Linked DNA regions of Oryctolagus cuniculus. The protein of the gene in region 1 purifies or fractionates together with the protein of each later gene. This does not show direct contact. Links are inferred from orthologs where the notes say so. Each region holds a gene or a part of one and is shown on either strand. Other genes may lie near its edges. The genes, in order: PSMA7, POMP and PSMG3.

Evidence for each region.
Region 2: the proteins of PSMA7 (region 1) and POMP purify together in Homo sapiens (co-immunoprecipitation; 4 studies listed by BioGRID and IntAct, with this or other methods). This does not show direct contact. The link is inferred for Oryctolagus cuniculus from reciprocal best matches to the Homo sapiens genes PSMA7 and POMP.
Region 3: the proteins of PSMA7 (region 1) and PSMG3 purify together in Homo sapiens (affinity purification with mass spectrometry; 3 studies listed by BioGRID and IntAct, with this or other methods). This does not show direct contact. The link is inferred for Oryctolagus cuniculus from reciprocal best matches to the Homo sapiens genes PSMA7 and PSMG3.

What each region holds. Positions count from the first base shown.
Region 1 is NC_091442.1:1,218,903-1,226,459, forward strand, and holds the start of PSMA7 (proteasome subunit alpha type-7), read left to right. Parts: upstream 1-2,984; 5' UTR 2,985-3,100; coding exon 3,101-3,196; intron 3,197-4,930; coding exon 4,931-5,057; intron 5,058-5,471; coding exon 5,472-5,596; intron 5,597-5,972; coding exon 5,973-6,095; intron 6,096-6,537; coding exon 6,538-6,657; coding exon of another isoform or gene 6,658-6,684; intron 6,685-7,285; coding exon 7,286-7,416; intron 7,417-7,556; coding exon 7,557-7,557. Other genes in the region: SS18L1 (calcium-responsive transactivator), read right to left, coding at 2,571-2,639.
Region 2 is NC_091440.1:85,852,211-85,859,824, reverse strand, and holds the start of POMP (proteasome maturation protein), read left to right. Parts: upstream 1-3,504; 5' UTR 3,505-3,695; coding exon 3,696-3,698; intron 3,699-5,948; coding exon 5,949-6,046; intron 6,047-6,420; coding exon 6,421-6,481; intron 6,482-7,614. UniProt on the Homo sapiens protein: Molecular chaperone essential for the assembly of standard proteasomes and immunoproteasomes. Degraded after completion of proteasome maturation. Mediates the association of 20S preproteasome with the endoplasmic reticulum.
Region 3 is NC_091450.1:36,700,588-36,707,566, reverse strand, and holds PSMG3 (proteasome assembly chaperone 3), read left to right. Parts: upstream 1-3,060; 5' UTR 3,061-3,188; coding exon 3,189-3,207; exon of another isoform or gene 3,208-3,302; intron 3,303-3,378; coding exon 3,379-3,629; intron 3,630-3,780; coding exon 3,781-3,933; 3' UTR 3,934-4,124; downstream 4,125-6,979. Other genes in the region: TMEM184A (transmembrane protein 184A), read left to right, coding at 5,056-5,960. UniProt on the Homo sapiens protein: Chaperone protein which promotes assembly of the 20S proteasome. May cooperate with PSMG1-PSMG2 heterodimers to orchestrate the correct assembly of proteasomes.

The DNA.
Region 1 (7,557 bases):
CACTGGATGACGCTGGCGCTAAGTCTGAGGCCGGGTGTTGTCACAGGAAGCGGGGACACGGACACAGAGGTGCCAAGGAAGAGGTAGCCACAGCCGGCAGCCACGCCTCCCCCTCCCAGGCCTCCCGAAGGCGCCGGCACCGCGTCTGTGGTCACTTGCTGGTGCTCGCCGGGTGCTGATGTGTCAGCTCACCCCACGCTCCCGGGGACAGGACCAGGGCTGCAGAAGTCCCAGTGCCAGGCCGGGGTCAGCCACTCGGGGCCCAGGCAAAGCCTCACAGCACGTGACGGCCAGGCCGGGGGGTGGGGGGGCAGGGGGCGGGGCTTCACAGCTGCACAGACTTGGCCTGCAGACCCCTGCCCGGACACGCTCAGAGGACAGCTTGTGCGCACCCCCCCTCCAGGCAGGCTTCTGAGGGGTCCCCGGCTTTCCTCGGTGCCTGCCATACAAGCTTCTGGCGGCCGCGGTGGCCACATCCTAGGCGCTCAGTCACAGGCCCCTGGGGTACACACGCACCGTCGAGACGCCAGGCTGCCCCGCGGCTCGCGGGCACGGACAGCCCGACGTGGAGGCCTGCTTCCCAGGGCCGGTGCCCGTCCGCCCTCCCTCCGCTCCGAGGTCTGCGGCCAGCAATGCTCACTCCCCTGCCAATGCGGGGTCTGGGCAGCTTCACTGGGAGGTGGGTGCAAAGCACAGAGGATCAGGCGCACGCTGAAGCCAACGGCGGCTGTGGGAGCAGGGACCGCTAGCTCCAAAGGAGCAGGGAGCGGGGCCGGCGCTGTGGCACAGCGGGTAAAGCCGCCGCCTGCAGTGCCGGCATCCCACATGGGCGCAGGTTTGAATCCCAGCTGCTCCACTTCTGATCCAGCTCTCTGCTGCGGCCTGGAAAAGCAGTGGAAGATGGCCCAAGTGCTTGGGCCCCTGCACCCGCGTGGGAGACCCGGAGGAAGCTCCTGGCTTTGGATCAGCCCAGCTGTGGCCACCTGGGGAGTGAGCCAGTGGATGGAAGACTCTCTCTCTCTCTCTGCCTCTCTGTAAGTCTGCCTTTAAAATAAATACATAAGTAAATAAATGAATGAATCCTTTAAAAAAAAAAAAAGCCAGGGCATCAGGACACCCCCAGAAATGCCCACACGTGCCCCCGGGGCTCGTGCCTGACGCTCTGCCGAGCCAAAGGCCGCGCGATGCGGCGCTGCAGCCACAGCCGTGCCGCAGCCACCGTCCACGGCACGCAGCTTTCCTGTGCTTCCGCCTCCTCAGCTACACGGGGGACGCTAATTCCACGGAGGACGCGGAGAAGACGGGCAAAGCCCGGGCCAGGCGTCGTGGCTCAGCAGGCTGGTTGCTGTCAGCTGTGTGCTACTGGCACACGGTGGAGGGGCCGTGAAGGGTGGCCCCGGGGCTTGGAGGCCTGGACGGAGCTGCAGGCTCCCGGTGCCCACCTGGCCCAGCCCTGGCTGTCGCAGGCTCGCCGGATGGAGAATCTCCCCCGCCCGGCGGCGGGTGCTCTGGTGCCGCGGGTTAAGCCCCGGCCTGCAGTGCCGGGTCCCACAGGAGCGCCAGTGCCAGTCCTGGCTGCTGCACTTCTGATCTAACTCTGCTGGGACAGCAACGGAACAACGCCCACGTCCTTGGGCCCTGCACCCGGGGAGCCGACTCAGATAAAGCCCCAGGCTCCCGGCTTTGGGCGCAGCTCCGGCCGTTTCGGCCATCTGGGGACTGAACCAGCGGATGGAAGACCTCTCCCTACCTCTCCAACTCTGTGTGTCAAATAAATCTCAAAGAGAAAGCGCACATTAAAAGATTCGCAAGGCTCTCAAACAGCACCTGCGACTCCACACCCTCGGAGGCTCCCGTCCGTCACCATCCCCGGCTCGGCGCTGCCCAAGGCCCCCCACTCGTGACAATCCCGTGGCGACAAGATCGGTCTCCATCTTGGTGACAGCCCGAGGACCACGTCCCCAGAGGCGGGCGCACCCCTCCCGGCGAACCCACAGAGTCCAGCAGAGGAACACACGCAGCCGCGCGAGGCGCCGGGCGCGTGCAGAGGGGCGCGGCGAACGCCAGCTTCCTTCCTTATCTGTCGGGCGGGGAAGCCGAGAACGGAACGTGCCCGCTCCCCCGCACCCGCGCGGCCCGACTCACGCCGAGGCGCGGGGCTGCACAGCACAGCCGGGTTCCCGGGCGCGGGGCACCCGCGTGCGCTGCGGGGCGCCCAAGCCCGCGCCGCGTCCTTTGTGCCCTGGGGGCTCGCGCCTCGCCGAGGGGCGTCCCCGAGGCCGGCCCGCACTCCCTCGCGCGTGGCCAGCGGCGCTCGGGACCCGGACCCCCGACACGGGCGCCGCCGCCGCCCTCTCCTCCCAGGCGGCCGACGCCACGCGCCCTCGCCCGCGCCCGCGGGTCTCCGCGCGCCTCCGGCAGAGTGGGCGTGGGCCCCCCGGGGAGCGCCGCTGCGGACGGCGGGCGCGGGGCCGCTCGGCTGCGCCCCGGCTTTGTTCGCGCCCCGCGCCCGCCGGCTGCCCGCGCCCCAGCCCGCGCGTGCCCGCGCCTCGCGCCCCGGCCCCACGCACCTTCTGAATGGTCTGCTGCGTGACCTCCCCTTTGCCCCTCGGCCGGGCGGACGCGAAGGCCACGGACATTGCGGCGACGCGGGGCTCAGCCCGTGACCATCAGGGCTTATTCCCCGGCTGCGCTCGGCCGCCCGAAGAGCTCATTCTCCGCAGTCGCCGGGGGGCGGGAGGCGCGGGGGACGCCGCGCCGTGGGCTCGCCCGCCCCGCCGCCCCGCGCGCGCCGCCGCGCCCGCCGCGCCGCCTCCCGCCGCCGCCGCCCCCTCCGAGGCCGCGCCTCGCGTGGCGCCCCCCGGCGGCCGGCCGGCGCCCCGCGCCCGCTCCGCCGCGCCCCGCGCCGCCCCCCCCGCCCCGCCGCCCGTGGTTAGGCCCGGCCCCGCCCCGCCCCGCCGCGCGCCCGCACGTCCGCCCGACGCCGTGACGTCACCGACGCGCAGCGTGGGCGCGGCGCAGGGCGCGCGCGCCGGCCGTGAGTGTGCGCTTTTGAGAGCGGCGGAGAGGGTGGCCCTGGGCCCGCGCCGCGGCCGCCGGCATGAGCTACGACCGCGCCATCACCGTCTTCTCGCCCGACGGCCACCTGTTCCAAGTGGAGTACGCGCAGGAGGCCGTTAAGAAGGGCTCGACCGCGGTGAGCCGCCGCGCCGGGGCCTGCGCGCGCTGGGGGCCCGGGCCAGGGGCGCCGCCGGGGGCCCGGGCGCGGCGGCGGGCGGCGGGCCTGGGCTCGGCCGGGGGCGCGGGCTGCGGACCGCTGCTCCCGGGACGGCGGCGCGGCGTCCCTTCGGCCGTGCGTGTGGCCAGCGGGCCGCTGGGAACCCGCGGGGCGCCGGCTCCGTGGCGCAGAGAAGGGAGCCGCAGCCCGGGCGGGGCCGATGGCGGCGCTGGGGCGCGCATGGCGTCGGAGGCCGCGGGTGAGGGGCCAGGCCAGTAGCCCGGGGTGCCTCTGGGTGCGTGCTTTCCGGTACGGGAGCGGGCCGTGCCCTGCACCTGCCGGCGGCGGGCCAGCCGGACGCACGGGGACTGTCCTGGCGGCTCCCGGAGTGATGCCAGGCCACTGCCTGCCCAGGTGGGCACGTTGAGCTCGGGGCTCAGGCGCCTGTCTCGTTCCCACCAGCAGCACCTGGGCGCACCTCGGGAGCGCGCGCGCATGTGGAGGAGGGGTGGTGTTTCTCACAGGAGGCTGGGGGGCCCCGGGCCAGGCCCCCGGGGGTGCGGTGCCTGGGCAGCGTCTGCCCCCTCGCAGACAGCGCCGTGGCGCGCGACGTTTTTGTCCCTTAGAATCCTAGACGTTCAGGGCCACGACGCGGATTCTGAGGTCGCCACTTCCTGGCTCGTGTGACCGCCTGCAATTAGGGTCCCAAGTCCAACTCTGACCTCCTCCCCACCCACGCTCGCTCGGGCGGACGCACAGCTGCGGCTCCCGGAGCGTCTGGCCGAGTCGGCACCCGGGACCTCCCTGGAAACCGGGCCAGTGCCCCTCGGCCCGCGGGCACTGCCGTGTGGAGCGAGACTGCTGCTGGCATGCCGTGGGCGGGGGCGGCTGCCCAGGTCGGCACTGGCCGGCGGGGCTGAAAGGCCCTGTGCTGGAGGGCGGGCACGCGCGGCGCCCACCGATTGCTGCGGTTGGTTTCTAGGCTGTTTGATTGACGTGTGGGATGGCCGATTCCTGAGGTTCCGGTGTGTGTGAGAGGCAGAGCCCCCACCCGCCGGCTGACTCCCCAGAGGCCCCTGACCGCCACCAGCCAGGAGCTTAGTCCGGGTCTCCCAGGAGGGGGGTGGGAGCTGCGCCCCGACTCTGATGGGGGCTCGGCGTCCCATGCCGAAGCGGCTCCCACGCCTGGTTAGGAGACGGGGAGGCCTTCATACTGCTCACGCCCCTTGGGCCCGCGACAGTGGGTGCCAGTCTAGGCCGGAGCCGGGACCCTGCGTGGGTCCATGGTCTGCAGCCTTGCCAGCCCAGCCCTCTGAGCAGGGGTGGGGAACCTGTCTCTGCCGGGCCGTTTGCGGTCGTACGGAATTGTCCACTTCATAATTAGCCTGCCGTGATTTATCGGATTTTGAATCCCACCCGTGGTTGCCTTGGCGGGCGGTGTCCGGCGACGGCTGACAGCAGGCGGCCCCTCCCTCGTGCCGGGAGGTGGCTTCACAGCTCGCCTGCGGCCGGCGCCCCTGTTCAGACTCCGGCCCACACGGCAGGTCCCTACCCGCAGTGCCGGGCCCGGGCTGTCGGGCTGTGAGCTGTGGGCTGCGCGGGTGAGCACAGCTCCGCGTGGCGGCTGCCGGCCACGCCCCAGGACCGTGTTGCCGTGTGCTCCTGGCGCCCCGCCTCCGCAGTTTCTCATGCGGGCCGTGGTTTTCATTGGAGGTTGGCGTCCGGGGGAGAGACATCGTCGTCCTTGGCGTGGAGAAGAAGTCGGTGGCCAAGCTGCAGGATGAAAGGACCGTGCGCAAGATCTGCGCGTTGGACGACAACGTCTGCATGGCGTTCGCAGGTGCGCGACCGGGGCCAGGGCCGCACTCAGGGTCCCGGTGGAACCTGGCTGTGCAGAGGGACGCGGGGCCCCGGGCTGTTGCCAGACGTCAGTGGATTCGGACTTCAGGAGTTAACTTGGGGGTTTTTCTGTCCCCCAAACACGAGCCCCGCCTGACCTGTGGCATGCAGAGGGCAGACAGGGCTGCCCGTGGCCAGCAGCAGTACACCTGCCCCGTGACGGGGAGGCACGCACTCGGCCCCTGCGCTCCCCCAGGGCGCGGGGCGGCTCCCTGACCTGGTTCTCAGAAGAGCCCCGGAGGCTGCTGGTCCCGCTCTGGCCGCTAAGGGCGAGGGGGGACCGTGCCCAGAGGTCAGGCTGCGGAGTAGCCAGGGTCAACGCCGTCCTTGCTCGGAGTCTCCCGCTCCTTTGCAGGCCTCACTGCGGACGCGCGCATCGTCATCAATCGGGCCCGGGTAGAGTGCCAGAGCCACCGGCTGACCGTGGAGGACCCGGTCACTGTGGAGTACATCACCCGCTACATCGCCAGTCTGAAGCAGGTGGGCGCCCGGGGTCAGCTGCGTCCTGCTGTCCACCGCTTCCCCTTGGCTCTCAGCGCGCGCTGGAGGGAGGAGCGAGGCCCGGCTCTGTCCTTAGCGGCGTTGCCAGGCGGGTGGGAGGGAGCCGAGAACCACTGTGGCGCGACGCCATTCGTCTTCCGAGCCAGCGTGTGGCCAGCTGGACGGCTGCCTGGCAGGAAGTTCCCAGGCGCTCAGTGCGTGCTGCGCAGTGCCTGGGCCTGGGCGTGCAGGTGCAGAACGGGCCGGAGGCGTGGGGGGTCTCGGTGCCTGCAGAGCGCCCCTGGCTGGGGCTCGGCTCGCGGGCGTCCTGCGCGGTCTCCCTGGTCCGAGCCCCGACCTGTTTGTGCCGCTCCAGCGCTACACACAGAGCAACGGTCGCAGGCCATTCGGCATCTCTGCCCTCATCGTGGGCTTTGACTTCGATGGCACCCCCAGACTCTACCAGACTGACCCCTCGGGCACGTACCACGCCTGGAAGGTGAGTCCCGCAGGGTGCAGCGGCTTCGGCAGCGTCCACTCCTCACGTCAGCGTTTGAGGTCACCGCGTCCCAGATGTACACGCTGCCTTGACGGTGGCTGTGTGGGAGCCAGGGGGCCGTGAGCACCAGATTGTCCTGCAGGACCGTGAGGGTGCGGGTGCAGGGCGGCGTTAGGATCAGTTAAGAATCGGCAGAAGGAAGCTGCCCACGGGGCTCAGCTGGTCACTCGGCATGGCCGCCCACGGGGCTCAGCTGGCCACTCGGCATGGCCGCCCACGGGGCTCAGCTGGCCACTCAGCATGGCTGCCCACGGGGCTCCGCAGGTCACCTGGAGCGGCTGCCCCTTGCCACAGCTTGCTCAGAGCAAACAGCAGGCCCCCTGGGGACACGGGCAGCAGGCAGCTGGACCCCTGGGCCACCGCGGGTGCACATCCGTTTCAGGCCAATGCCATCGGCCGGGGCGCCAAGTCAGTGCGTGAGTTCCTGGAGAAGAACTACACCGATGACGCCATCGAGACCGACGACCTGGCCATCAAGCTGGTGATCAAGGCCCTCCTGGAAGTAAGTGCTCGGGGTCCGGGAAACACGGTGGACGCCGGCCGCGTGGGCGTGGGCAGGGCAGTGTCCCGGTCCCACGGAGCTCTGGGCATATCCTTGCTAAGCTTTGAGAGGCAGTGAGCGATCTTCATCCCCTGGGCCACTCCCTAAACGGCCGCAGTGGCTGGAGGGGAGCTGACCGGAAGCCAGGAACCAGGAGCCTTGTCCAGGTCTCCCACGTGGTGTGGGGCCCAAGGACGCGGGCATCCTCCACTCTCCCAGGCCCTCAGCAGGAAGCTGGATGGGAGCTGGAGCCCGTACGGGAGCCGGCACTGCAGGGGGAGGCCTAGCCCGCCGTGCCACAGCGCGGCCCCTGCTTTCTACGAGTGGCGCAGGTGGGATGTGACCCCACCCCTCGGCGGGGAGTGTGTTCTGCGCATGGCCCGAACTTGGCCTTCCAGGCCTGAGCTGCGAGGGGGGGAGCTAACCACACTGACAGCAGTGCCTGGCGGGGCGAGGGTCCAGCTCTGTCCACACCTGCCTGGCGAGGCGGGGGTTGCTAAGTGGAGGGGCGGCGCCATGAGGGACTCACGGGCGCTGTCTGGGCCCTCTGTGGGGCGAGGGATCTCATGTCCTGTCGTCTCCCCTCAAGGTGGTTCAGTCTGGTGGCAAAAACATCGAACTCGCGGTCATGAGGCGGGATCAGCCCCTCAAGGTAATGCCAGCTGTGTCCTGCGGAGCTTCTCGGGGTCAGGGCTGGGCGCCGGGCTCAGACAGGCTGCTGTGGGGCGGGCCTCGCACTGCGAGAGGGTCTGTCCCACAGTCCTCTGTCCTGTGTGGTCTCAGCACTGGGAGGGGGCTCCCCCAGGGTCCCCTGGCCTGGGCATGCCCCTGGGCACACTACACACGTGGCAGGAACCCAGC
Region 2 (7,614 bases), on another chromosome or scaffold:
AAATACATAGCATATATATATATTTTAATTTACCACAAGTTTTCTTGGCATGTCTCAACCTTTGCTGAAACTTAGCTTTTTCAAAAATGATGCCACGTTCCTCCAAAGCTTGTCAGGGGTGTCTGCTCTTCCTCCTAACCTTCCCGGACTCACAGGGCAAGAAAAGCGTCCCCACTACTGACTGCTTGATCATTAGTTAACATCAGCACTGCTCAACCCACATTCGTGCACCTGCCTTTCACTTGTGTCCCATTATAAGTCGCAGTCTGAAAGGGAGTTTTTGACGATGTTCAACAACAGGCTTTCACCAAATATGTGTGTGGGAGCGTGGGTATTCGAAGGTAGATAGATCACACTGCTCAGCCTCCAGGAGCCTGTAGTCTAGAGACTAAAGCATCAGAGAGGCTTCCAATAAAGAGGACGTTAGAAGCCTAGGGAGAAAGGGTTGCAGGCGGAGGGGTCACTGCACTCCTTTCTGGTTACTTTCTTTGTCTATCTGACCCAGGGACCCCTATGGCCACCTGGAAGACCTGTCCTGCTTCCTTGTCACCATATATATGCTTTCTGATCCCTCTTGATCTGCCCCTACGTTCTGAGAATTGCTGCAGGCCAGCGCTGCGGCCGACTAGGCTAATCCTCTGCCTGCAGCGCCGGCACCCCGAGTTCTAGTCCCGGTTGGGGCACCAGATTCTGTCCTGGTTGCTCCTCTTCCAGTCCAGCTCTCTGCTGTGGCCCGGGAAGGGAGTGGAGGATGGCCCAGGTCCTTGGGCCCTGCACCCGCATGGGAGACCAAGAGAAGCACCTGCCTCCTGGCTTTGGATCGGCGCAGTGCGCCGGCCGTAGCGACCACTTGGGGGGGGGGGCGGTGAACCAATGGAAAAAGGAAGACTTTTCTGTCAAAAAAAAAAAAAAAGAGAGAGAGAGAGAATTGCTGCAGAAAACAACGGAACTTTGGTGCACTTTTCTGTGTCATGAAATCTTGTGCTCCTGGGGGCATGATCTATCACTTTGTCCATGTTGCACATGTTACTTGCCTGTCACTTAGTAACCATCCTGGTTATCAGATTGACTGTTGAAGCACCACAGTGCCTGTGTTCAAATAACCCTTATTTTACTTAATAACAGCCCCAAAACACAGGAGCAATGATGCTGACAATGCAGACAACCAAACAGAAGTCATAAAATGCTTTCTTTGAGTGAAAAGGTGAATATTTTTTATTTAACAAGGAAAAAAAATCACATGCTGAAGACGCTAAGATCTATGGTACAGAAAGTTGTCTGAGGGGCCACACTCATATAACTTTTATAATAGTATATTACTATAATTGTTCCATTTTATTATTATTCTCTTACTGTGACTTTTATAAATTTTATCCTAGGTATTGATATAGAAGAAAAACACAGTACACATGTTTCAATTCTGCAGATATTTCGGTGATTTAATATTTATTTCAAAATCAGCATAACTTGTAGCTTTATTGCTTAAGTTTGTGTAGGTGTCCTATATATAGGATGGTGGGACATAATGGGCTAACATCGTTCTCCGTTCCTAGCAATCTGGTTTCTTCTCCCACCATTTTACTTACATCCCTCAACAGGTCGTACAATGATCTCCAGTTTGCCAAATTCCATTGTTTTTCCCATAACTCTTGACATCACTGGTCATTCCTTTATCTAGATATAATACATTTTGTGGCTCCTGAGACATTCCTGAGGTCTGAGACACTTTCCTACTTCTCCATGTCTTTTTCAAAACCTTCTAGCTTCTACCAAATTGTAAAAACTCCCTATTAGATTTTAAAACCTGCCTGGGTGCCTGCCCCCTGTGTACAGGACACTGCTGTGAAGATAAAACAGCCTGTGGGTAGGGTTTGGTCTCAGACAAAGAACAAAAGCAGCAAGGGCAAGTGTAATTCAAGGTTCTCAGAGAGCACTAAGATTTCAGCCCTAGGACAAGATGAAATACAGGAAGAGGGCCCATACAGGAGGCAGCCAAAGGTCACCAATGGGGAACAAGCTAGAACAAGGGCGAAGGGTTCTTGCCAGATGCTGTGAATGTGGCTTAACTTTTGTAAAAAGATCTCCACTAGGTCCCATTGCCCTCACGGAAACATCCCAAACCTCAGCACATCAAGTAAGACCCCTTGTTTCGGCCCCAACCAATCTCATCTCTTCTTATTCCTGCTGCTCACCCAGGACTCCAACATGGAGTTTTCCACTGCTCAGAAATCCCCACCTTCCCATGCTTCCTCTTCCTTGAATACCTTTTTTCTCTGTTCCAAAATACTTGCTAGCTCAATTCCTTTCTCTATCAAGCATTTACCATATACCGTAAATATCTGTTCACATGTCTATCTCCCCAGGAAAATGTCCGTTTCTTCTATATAGTTCCAGAATCTAGTACCCAGCAAATGCTCCACAAATATTCATTGAATGGTGATCAATAAACAAACACGAGTCTTTGTTAAAAAAAAAAAAAGAGTTCTAGTTTTAAAAACTTCCCCTGAGGTGGGACTGACTGAAAGGGAAAAGATACAAATGAAACATTCAAGCTCAAATCTCAAGGAAAATATGAATATTCCAGAGGAGCACAAGTTATAAAAACAGCAGTAGGGAACACAGCTAGATTATCCCAGTAATGCCCATGCCTGTGCACAGAGTAATAACAAATCTCTTTCACCTCCCCCTCCAATCTCCTTCAATGGCTTTTAAGACAATGGTTTCACCTTTAATCTGGACGGCATAAAAAATGTAGGCCCCATCTACTTTACTCTCTGAACATCAGCTAGCCAGGCCTTCTCCCTCAGTTCAGTTTTCCCCCAGGCACACCTTCAGGTGAAGTTCTTCCTACTGCCCCAAATGACTCCTGTCTTATCCTTTGGGTCCCCGGCACAAGGATTCCTTAAATTGTCTCCATTACATGACAGTCAAGCAAAGATCTTATACTGTAGCTGGAAGACAATGCAGTATAGCGGTGCTACTATGACATTATGCTCTGGGCCTCTGGGTGTATTTCTTCAACCGCTTTCTCTCTAGGTTTCCTCGCCTACACAACTGGGTTTAAGAGTGGTACCTGCCTCAAGGTACTGAAAAGGCTGAGGGGGGTAATTCCTGTAAAACACTGATCGTTGTGTTGATACGTAATTGTGGGAGCCCAATATGTCAATCAAGATTGCATTTCACCACTCCCCCCCCCCCGCCCCGTCCCCGCGGCCCCTTCCTCTAGCCCAGGGACATCAGCCTGATTCTTTGGCCTCATCAGAGTGTTCTGAACACAGGCCTTCGATATATGTTTAAAAATAAATAAAAATCTTGTATTCTGCTTCCGGCACTCTAGATGAACGACCTCAGGCAAATCACTCAACCCACCTAGACCGCATTTACCCTGTGCAAACGGCAATGGCTATTAATAAAGCGGAGTCCGCGTCTTCCCTCCCCGCCGCACGTCTCGTCCCGAACCCGCCCTCCTCCCAGCCCACACCCTACTGCGCCCTTGGCCCTTGCTCCCTCGGGACAGCAAGCGTGGGAGCCTAGGCCCCGCGCGACTCCCTCCCCGCACCCCGCGCCCTTCTTCCTTCCTCGCCCGGACGGACGCACTTCCGGCGGATGTAGCGGGGCGGCCCCCGGAAACGGAAGTGAGCGCTGGGGCAGGCTGACCGTCACGGGGCTGAGGCTCGTCGCTGAGCGGGTTGAAGATGGTGAGTGAGTGCCTGGGCAGCCCGAGGGCCAGGCGCCCCCGGGAGAATGGCCAGGCAGCAACGGATCGCTCCCCTCAGCCTGTCCCGCGGTAGTGGCGGCGGTAGCGTGGGGATGAGGCCGGCCTCGGAAGCCATGAGAATCTGTCGAGTCACGGGGTTGGGGCGGATGGTGGCCGTCGCCGGGCCCGGGTCTGACGCTAGTGTTGGAAGCAGCGATTGGGCTTTATCCTGTCCCTTCTCCCTGTCCGACTTTTCGCTTAGTTTGCGCCTTCCCAGCATGCCCAGGGCCCTTCCCCGTGGTGGGTACGCGGAGCAGGAACGTTCCGTGGGGGTGGCGCCGCAGACTACACCGTCCCTGATGGGAAAACCTCCGCTAGCCCGGGGTCTGCAAGCCACGGCCCCCGCCCACATCCCCGGCCCTTGTAGCTGGTTGATAACCACAATTGTAGAGCGCATTTGTATAACCCGGTTTTACTCCACAAACATCTATGAGAGTATGCAAGGTGGGGGGGAGAGGGGTGGGAATCAGAGTTACTCCTAGTTTGCCAGGGTCTTTTCCTAATCCACCATGACTGCTTGTAGGGGGGGAGTTGGAACCTGTTGTTCAAGTCCTTCGATTCTGGGCTAAGGATTCTGGGCTTTATCCTGCAGACATTGGTGAATGAATGAAAAGTTCTGTAGTAGTTGTTAGTGGAAGGGGCGCTGTGTTTTAGGAAGCCTTGCTGCGCAGACCTGGAAAATGAGTGAGTGTAAGATAGCAGGACCTCCTAGACTGCTGTTGGAATCCTCCATTTGTGAGAGTCTGGACCAGATAAAATATCTGGCCAAATAAAATACGTGTGAGTCATGAAATGAATAAAGATGTTGGCTTCTTAGCTCGCCCAGCATAGTATATCAGACTCAATAACCAACTGCCTGTAGCTATGTCACGTTTTTCCGCAAAATTGCAGGGTTATTGTACTTGAAAAGTCGTGATTTAAGGTCAGCATCCTGTGTTTTACCTGTGTCACACTACATTTTATTTAACCTTGTTTTTATTAGATTAAGCCCTTGGGAAGTAGACATGTTCTCAGCACCTAGCAGGTTACTTAATACATAAAAGGTGCCCAGTAAGTATTTGGTGATTGCAAGTTTTATAGTGCAGAAGTGTAGTTGATTATGCATCAGTGTAATTCCCTGCAAATCAGATTTTATTTTGTTTTATCCTATCCTGATTAGATAAATTCATTTTTTATAGTTAGTGCTTGCCTCTTATAGAAGCTAAAGACTTCCTGAAAGTCCCCCTTTTTCTTTGCTTCTATGACCTCTCTTTTCTAGCTATTCTGGCTGTTGTTAATCCCATTTCTTTGGCTCTTTCTTTGTCCGTAGGAATGATATTCCCCAGGATTCAGTCCTCAACCTTTTCCTTCTTTGTTAAACATCCCAACCTAAGGGAGCATTGTTGCCAGTGAAAGCAAACATGATCATAACGTAACCCTTCTGAGACTCAATTGCATAAGACCCAAATTTCTGTGCATCTGAGGCTTACCGTTTTTTCATATTCTCAGCCCTTACTTCTGCCCCATTCATCCAGATATTTGGCCAGTCATTCCAGACTACTTGTAGCTTGTTCTCTTACACAGTTGACCCTCCATGTCCCCAGGTTCTGCATCCTCAAATTCAGCCAATGCTGGGTCAGAAATATTAGGGGAAAAAAATTATGTCTGTACAGTACAGAATATGTACAGACTTTTTTTTTCCTTTGTCATTATTTCCTAAACGATGTTATATAACAACTATTTACATTGTATTAAGTATTATAAGTAATCTTGAGATGGTTTTAAAGGTTAGGGGAGGATATGGATAGGTTACTTGGAAATAGTGCACCTTTTTATATTAGAGACTTGAGCATCTGTAGAGCTTGGTAGTTGAAAGGAGTCCTGGAAACAATCTCCCATGGATGCTGAGGGAGAACTAATATTTTCATACTTTTATGCATATTGTTATTTCTTTTCTTGGAATGCCTTTCAGTTTGGCAGTCCAGGAGTCCTCTCCACCCCGAAATTTGGTTCTTACACCACACATGCCCCTCTGCAGTAATGCTCAAAGCCTGTAATTATTTGCCTATAGGCTCTTTGAGGGCAGAGACCTTATCTTTTCCTTCTACTGCTTAAACAGTGTTTTTTTTTTTTTTTCTGTCAGTGTTCAGTGTATGTGTGCTTAGTATCTGTTTTGTGTTTAATAATAGTGTTTTTTTTATTTGTGTTGTAGAATGCCAGAGGACTTGGATCTCAGCTGAAGGACAGTATTCCAGTCACTGAACTTTCAGCGAGTGGGCCCTTTGAAAGTCACGATCTTCTTCGGAAAGGGTATGTGGAGAAATTGTGACTTCAGCTTTGTTAGAGTGAAATGCGTCTGTGAAACATACTTTATAATATTCTTTAAATACTTTGCTGTACCGTAAGTGTGTGTGTGATCTGGGACGTGGTAAACAGTAACAGCATGGGCTAGGAAAGAGTCCGGGCTGTTTCCTGCGGTGGAAGAAGCTGGTCGTTCCAGGATAGGATAGTTTGGTGTGTAGTCGTGTGAATTCCTGGAACTGTCTCCACAGCTGCAGTACAGAGCAGTTTCATCCCACCCGAGTAGCTGGCTCGCATCCTGGCGTTCTGGTCAGACCCTTGATGTGTACGGTTTTGATCTTAGTACTGTGATATTTACTGTCTCTTTTTTTTTTTTTTTCCAGCTTTTCTTGTGTGAAAAATGAACTTTTGCCCAGTCACCCTCTTGAATTATCAGAAAAAAATGTAAGTATGTTGCCTATTTTTATTGATACTTGGATGGTTTCATTTTAGTAAAACAATTCTGCTGCTAAAGCTTTGACTGTGAAGAATATGAGGTCTTATTTTCCACCTCCTTATAGGGTAGGCTTTCAAATTATTATACTGTTTTACTAAAAGTCCCTTTCTATGCATCCTTTCCTATCTTTTTTATGTACATCTCTAAAGATTGGTCCACCTCTCAATTCCTCTCAGAATAATTTTCTCATCTGATACTTGTGTTTTCTTATGCATTTTTCCCTTGATACTTTTACTGTTGATCTCCAAAGCCGTATCTCTAGCCTTGAACTCTTTCTCAGGTTGTGCCTCTCAAAGTTAGTAAGGAATATATCCACCAGGCACAGTAGGTGCACAGATGTGACATAATCCCTTCCTTATGGAATATACATTTTAGTAGGGAAGACAGGCCGGCGCCGCGGCTCACTAGGCTAATCCTCTGCCTAGCGGCGCCGGCACACCGGGTTCTAGTCCCGGTTGGGGCGCCGGATTCTGTCCCGGTTGCCCCTCTTCCAGGCCAGCTCTCTGCTGTGGCCAGGGAGTGCAGTGGAGGATGGCCCAGGTGCTTGGGAGACCAGGAAAAGCACCTGGCTCCTGGCTCCTGCCATCGGATCAGCGCGGTGCGCCGGCCACGGCGGCCATTGGAGGGTGAACCAACGGCAAAGGAAGACCTTTCTCTCTGTCTCTCTCTCTCACTGTCCACTCTGCCTGTCAAAAAAAAAAAAAAAAAAAAATAGGGAAGACAAGCAGTTGAGAAGAGACTTCATAATGTGCTGAAGAGGGCCAGGAATGGGGCAGCCACCCATGCGTTGGGCCTTTGGAGGGCTTTGTAGAGGAGGGGACGTTGGAACAGTTTAAGGCCAGTATTTACCAGGTGTGTACTCAGAAGCCACTCCCACTCATAGGAGATAATAAATGTAGATGTTCCAAAGGCAAATTAAATGTTTTAGAGTATGTTTAGGGCAAGAAGAAGGAGTAGATCACTACAGAAAGATGGCAAAATGTGACCCAGGTAACTGAAATATTGTCAAGGCTGTTTTCTGTTGTTTTTATTGTTGGGGTCTTTGTTTTGTTTTGTTTTTGCCTTTTTAGCAAAAGGAAAT
Region 3 (6,979 bases), on another chromosome or scaffold:
CCTGCCAAGGCTGGGCCATCCGGGCCACCCCTGCTGCCTCCGGGGACCTGCGCTAGAGGAAGCTGGTCAGAGCCGGAGCTGGGACTTGAACCCAGGAGCTCCAATATGTTGTCCCACAGAGCTCCCTGCTGTCTGCAGCAAGCTCAGCCGCCCAAGCTGCGGCCCCCAGGGGACCCCCCCAAGCCCCCAGGGCAGCCCCCAGGGGACCCTCCAAGCCCCGGGAGGCAGCCCGATGGCTATCTCCATCTTCAAGCTAAAAACCGGAGTTGCTCCAAACTCACAGAGGCTCTGACTGCAATAACCCTCCGTGAGGACCTGCCACACCCCGAGTCCCTGCCGTGTCCAGGTTCCGTCCGTCACCCGGGTCCCCACCACCGCAGGGCCCATGGAGAGACGAGGGGCCGTGTGGGGGTGCAGCGCTGGGGTACAAGAGGGAGCCCAAGCCAGGGGGGAGCGTGGGCAGGGCTGCCGAGGCTGAGTGAGCCGAGCCCACGGTGCCCAGGGAAGCTGGTGTGCCCGGGACACACAGCTCTGGGGGAAGACAGGGACGCCCGCACAGCCCCGGGAACACGCACAGCCCCGGGAACCAGCCCTGGGCGCCCGCACAGCCCCAGGAACCCATACAGCCCCCAGAGCCAGCCACAGGCGCCCGCACAGCCCCAGGAACCAGCCCCGGGCACCCACACAGCCCCGGGTGCCCACTCAGCTCCAGGAACCAGCCCCGGGCGCCCACACAGCCCCGGGTGCCCACCCAGCTCCAGGAACCAGCCCCGGGCGCCCACACAGCCCCGGGTGCCCACTCAGCTCCAGGAACCAGCCCCGGGCACCCACACAGCCCCGGGTGCCCACCCAGCTCCAGGAACCAGCCCCGGGTGCCGACACAGCCCCGGGTGCCCACTCAGCTCCAGGAACCAGCCCCGGGCACCCACACAGCCCCGGGTGCCCACCCAGCTCCAGGAACCAGCCCCGGGCACCCACACAGCCCCGGGTGCCCACTCAGCTCCAGGAACCAGCCCCGGGCACCACACAGCCCCAGGAATCAGCCCTGGGCGTCCACACAGCCCCCAGGAACCAGCCACAGGCGCCCACCCAGCCCCAGGAACCAGCCCCGGGCACCCACACAGCCCCAGGAACCAGCCCTGGGCATCCACATAGCCCCAGGAACCCACACAGCCCCCAGGAACCAGCCCCAGGTGCCCACCCAGCCCCAGGAACCAGCCCCGGGCACCCACACAGCCCCGGGTGCCCACCCAGCCCCAGGCGCCCGCACAGCCCTGGGAACCAGCCCCGGGCGGCCACACGTGTGGGAAGGGTGCTAGGTGATGCCCTCTCCTCCCCTCCCCCAACTGCGATTGCTACTAGGGTTTGTTTTGTTTTGTTTGTTTTTTGACAAGCAGAGTGGACAGTGAGAGAGACAGAGAGAAAGGTCTTCCTTTTCCGTCGGTTCACCCTCCAATGGCCGCTGCGGCCGGCCCATCGCGCTGATCCGAAGCCAGGAGCCAGGTGCTTCTCCTGGTCTCCCATGGGGTGCAGGGCCCACGCACTTGGGCCATCCTCCACTGCACTCCCTGGCCACAGCAGAGAGCTGGCCTGGAAGAGGGGCAACCGGGACAGAATCCGGCGACCCGACCGGGACTAGAACCCGGTGTGCCGGCGCCGCTAGGTGGAGGATTAGCCTAGTGAGCCGCGGCGCCGGCCTCTACTAGGGTTTCTTGAAGATGAGACAAGTTCCAGATATTTTCATATTTTTTTAAACTTTTTGGGGGAAGCTTTATTTATTTGCGAGGTAGAGTTACAAACAGTGAGAGGGAGAGACAGAGGCCTTCTATCTGCTGGGTCACTCCCCAGATGGCCGCAGTGGCCAGAGCTGCACCGATCTGGAGCCAGGAGCCTGGGCGCTCCGGGTCTCCCACGTGGGTGCAGGGCCCAGGGACTTGGGCCATCTTCCTCCGCTTCCCCCGGCCACAGCAGGGAGCTGATGGAACCGGCGCCCACAGGGGATGCCGGCACTGCAGGGGGGCCCCATCCTACACTGTTCAGGGTGACTCCCCAAACTCTCTCACCCCAATACTGGCCCTACTCCTATCTGGGTCCCATTCTGAGTGAGCTCACCTGAGGGTCTTTTTCTAATTACCCCTCACCCTGGAGGCCGGTCAATGGCGGGCAGGCCCCTCCCCCACCCCACCATCACCCAGGCCACCAGGAGTCCTCTCCCTGGACAGAAGGACTCGGGCCCCGGCTTCCGCCAGGCTCCACCCTGAGCCAGACAAGGACCTGCTCATCAGGGCTTTCCGCCTGGCCCCCGCCTTCCCTCCTGTACCGGTGTGGAGTGGGTTCAGCAGCGAGACACCTGCAACAGGTGAATCCCAGCGAGCCGGCCCCTGCAAGGTTTCCCCCGGCGCGGGCGGTGGCCAGGTGGGTCAACTTACAAACAACACAGACTCGGGCTTCCCAGGGACACGACCCTGCCTAGGGGGCCTGGGCACCCGCTTCCCCTGCAGGGACCGGCCTCCTAGGGGCCGCCGCCTGCAGCACTGGCATCCCAGGTGGGCGCCGGTTCGAGTCCCGGCTGCCCCTATTCCAGTCCAGCTCTCTGCTGTGGCCCGGGAGGGTGGTGGTGGATGCCCCAAGTGCTTGGGCCCTGCACCCGCGTGGGAGACCGGGAGAAGCACCTGGCTTTGGCCTGTCGCGGACACCTGGGGAGTGGCCAGCGGACGGAAGATCTGGGAGAGCCAGGGCGCCTACCCGGGCCTGGGAGCGGGAGACGCCGCCGCGAGCCCCGCTCACCGCATCGCAGCACCGGCTGGGTGCGCTTTTGCTATCACAGACCCCACCCCGCGGCGGCCCCGCGCCCTCCTCCTGGGGACGCGGGCCCCGCACCCGCAGCCCGGGACACAGCGACGGCCCGGGAGCCCGCTCCGCGCCCAGCCCCAGGGTCGGCCCGAGAACGTCGGCCCCGCGGTAGCCCGGCCCGCGCAGGACCCCCGAACCTCTCACGCGCCGGCCCCTGGGGCCGGAAGCCGCGCGCTGCACTTCCGGCGGGGGCGGGACTTAGGGGCGGGCCCGCGTCCTCCCGCCGAGCCACTTCCGGCGCGCCGGGCCGCCGGTGCCGACTGCGGGTCCGCTTCCCGGGGTCGGTGGTCGCTGCGGGCCCGAGAGCCTGGGGACTGGGGGAGGGGCGGCTGCTCATGCCGGTGCCGACTGCGGGTCCGCTTCCCGGGGTCGGTGGTCGCTGCGGGCCCGGGAGCCTGGGGGAGGGGCGGCTACTCACGCGGGTGCCGACTGCGGGTCCGCTTCCCGGGGTCGGTGGTCGCTGCGGGCCCGAGGGGCTGGGGGAGGGGCGGCTGCTCACGCCGGTGCCGACTGTGTCTCTCCCAGTCGACCCCCAGCGGACGCCAGCCAGCCAGCCAGCCATGGAGGACAAGCCGATGGTGGTGTCCAAACAGAAGACGGACGTGGTGTGCGGGGTCCCCACGCAGGTGGTCTGCACCGCCTTCGCCAGCCACATCCTGGTGGTCGTGACCCAGTTCGGGAAGATGGGCACGCTGGTCAGCCTGGAGCCCAGCAGCGTGGCCGGCGACCTCAGCAGGCCCGTGGTCTCCACGAGGGTCCTCCTCGGGCAGGACGAGGTGAGGGCGGGCTGGCTGCAGCTGTCCCTCAGGACGGGGGCGGGGCCCCCCGCGGAGGAGCTGGGCCGCTGGGAGGTCGCACTGAGCTGCTGCGGGCTGGGGTCCCTCCGTGCGGGCGGGGAGCAAGCGGCCTGCTCTCCCCCTCCCCCAGCCTCTCATCCACGTCTTCGCGAAGAACCTGGTGGCGTTCGTGTCTCAGGAGGCCGGGAACAGGGCCGTGCTGCTCGCCGTGGCCGTGAAAGACAAGAGCTTGGCGGGGCTGCAGGCCCTGAAGGCGCTGATCCGGCTCTGCCAGGTGTGGTGACCCCGGCTGCGCTGCGGTGGCTTGGACGCTGAACGGGGCGGAGGGCGGGCCCTTGCCCTGGCTGCGGACCCGGCCCGGGCGCAGGGCCGGCCTGGCGCTGGCCCCTCCCGCCGGGTGCCCAGGCGCGAGGGCTGGCGCCGGACTGCCCACAGGATATTTTTCTAAATTAAAAGTAAACACTTCCCAACGTGCTTCAGGGTCCTGACGAGGGACGGTGGCAGGGCGGGAGGTGACCCCCAAGCTCAGCGTCCCTGTCCGGGTGGACTCCAGAAGCCCCCAGGATGCCCTTCCTGGGGGCGGGGCCATCGCCGGGTGCCCCCAGACCTGCAGGTGTGGTGAAGTCAAACGTGTGCCCGAGACGGGACAGAAGGAATCTTTGTCCGGCCGCGGCCCCTGCCTCAGGGGAGCCCACGGTCTCTTCTAGGGCCCCCCCCAGCTGCTGGGGTACCTGTGTCGCTGACGCCCTCTGCAGGAGTCGGGAGGGGGGCCCGTCCCGGCCTGTGCCGCGGGGAGGGGCCACTGAGGCAGACTGGTCCCTGGCAGGCGGGACTCCCAGGTCACAGTTCCACGGCCTCATCTTCTGCCCCTGCTCCCTGCGTGGGGTGGGGGGTGCTGCCGTGCCAGGAAGGGAGGCCCAGCGCCTGCTTCCTTTAACATAGGGGTCGGGGGTCAGGGTCAGGAGCTTGGACGGGCCCGGGGCTGCGGCCTGGGCTTGAGGTGTGGCCGCTCCGCCCGCCCCGGGCGTCTCACAGGTGAGGAAGCTGAGGGCCGGAGCGGGCCCACTGTTCCCCAGTTTCTGTTCCTCCGTGGTCCCCGTGCCCCGGCTCCCGTCTGCCAGGCCCCGGTGGAGCCGGGGAAGTCACTCGCCTGTACCAGCAGCACCCTGAGAGCCGGGCCCTGCTGGTGCTGTCTGCCCGGGTCCCCGACCGCGGGCCTAAGGGCGGCCCTGTGACTGGTGCTGGGACAGCCGGGTTCCCGTGCCCCCTCCAGTGTCCTTCCCCGCTGCCCAGAGCCATGGGGCGTTAGAGGAAATGGCCCAGTCGTCCGGGCTCCGGCCGCAGGCGAGGGGCGGCAGCTCCCAGATTCGCCGCCCCAGCTGTGGTTCACACAGCAGATGTGGGCATGCGTCCGTTTCGGACGGGGGGGGGGCGCCGGGCTGCAGGCTCCCCGGGTTCCCCCGGTGTCCTGCTCGCTGTGGGGCACGGGCCTGGGTACTGCCGAGATGGCTCGGGGGTCGACTGTGCTCGGCTTGACCTAGTCCTCAACACCCCTCCCCAGCCGGAAGTGACAAATCGCCCCGGACGACGAAGGGCTCGGTGCTGTGGGTCAGCGCCAGGGAGCAGCGCGGCCCACGCTGCCGAAGGGCGGCCTCTGCTGTTGGGTGAAGCAGGGCTGGGGAGGCCTGGGGGCGGCGGTGGCGGGACGAGCCCGTCTGCTGGTGTTGGCGAGGACGCCTGGGGGTCCACTGGGCTGCGAGGCCAGGAGCTGCGGCCCCACACGCATGTGGCACACATGACGGTGTGGAGGGGATGGGGCCAGGAGCGAGAGGCAGAGGGGTCGGTGAGGAACGGACGCCCGCGGCAGGACACAGGTACACGCCCACGGCCACCCAGGAGAGCCCGGGGGCCCAGGGCTGCGACCTGTGACAGGTGTGGGTGGGGCTGGCGAGGCTGGGGTGGGCAGAGCCCTCACCGCATGCCGAGAGCCGGAGCGCCGCAGGGGCCAGCCCACGTCCACCTGTGGATCCCTGACCCCTGTGCGAGAAGCAGACGGAGGCCGGTGCTGGAGCCCGGGAGGGGGTGTGCAGGGTGTGGCCGCGCAGCAGCTGTACCCAGGCAGGTAGGGCCGGGCGGGCCGGCAGGGCTGGGAGGAGCTGCTGGGTGTGAGAGAGGCCGGGCTTCTCCGGGAGCGGTAGTCCCCTCCCTGGCAGCTGCGAGGAGGGGCAGCAGAGCGCTGGGCCCCCAGGCCCCCCACAGCCCCCCGCTGAAGGCCTGCCACAGGTGGGGCGGCCGAGAGCCTCCAGGGAGGTGAGTGTGTGCGCAGGGCGTGGGGGCCAGGCTGGCATGGGAGCCCCTGCAGGGAGGATCCGCTGTTGGACTAGGCTCCCGGAGACCCCCCGGCTTCTCCTGAGAAGGGGCTCTGGCAGCCGGGTCAGCACCCCGTCCCCAGGGTCCAGGACGCCTGGACGGCCCTCCCAGGCTCGCTGTGCGCTGGGGGAGGGGCAGGGCACAGCTGCAGGAGGCGTGGGCTGGTGGGGCCGGGATCCGCCCTGCGCCCCCGCCTGTCTCAGCCCTGAGCTGGAAGCAGAAGGGCCGCCCACGTCGTGGGGACACCAGGCGGCCAAGAGCCAGCGCCGCCCGTTCCGGCCCCTGCCAGGCAGCCTCTGCCCGGGTCTGATCTGCCTGGGGCCGCCCAGGAAGGGCAGGTGGCAGGGAGGCCAGCCTGAGTGCCACCACGGGACGCTCAGCTGTAGGGGCTGCACCTGTCCAGGTGAGGCGGGCATCATGGCCACCAGGCGGCAACGCTGACTGCACACCTGCGGGCGGGCTCCAGGGGAGTCCCAGAGCCAGGGCGGCGCCCGCCCGCCCCACCCCCGGAGGGGCGGCCACTGGGTCAGGGCCATCCATCATGCTGCCCGAGACAGTGCGCCAGCTGCTTGGCTGGGGGCGGGAGGTGCACACCCCGTCCGCTCCGCAGGAGGCTTGTGCGCCCACAGCAGGGGCCCTGTCCTCTGTCTGCAGGGGGACCGGGGGTGGCCTGGCGGGGTAGTGTGGAGGCGGGCGTCAGGGTGAGAGGCAGGCGGCCAGCCAGACCCGGGGCAGAGGGCGGTGTGCAGGCGTGGGACCGGCTAGGCGGCTTCTTGGCCTGCACAGCTCCCCGGGGCACCTGCAGTGCCCCGGTCACAGGAAGCTTCGGTGTCAGAGGCCGGGCTCGGGACATCCAAGGCCACCCAACTGCACTGCGTCGCCTGAGTGGGCAGGGCCCCCTGGCCGGAGCGACGGGACAGTTTATGAGTTGGGGGTTGACTGCCCCCATCCCTGCCTCT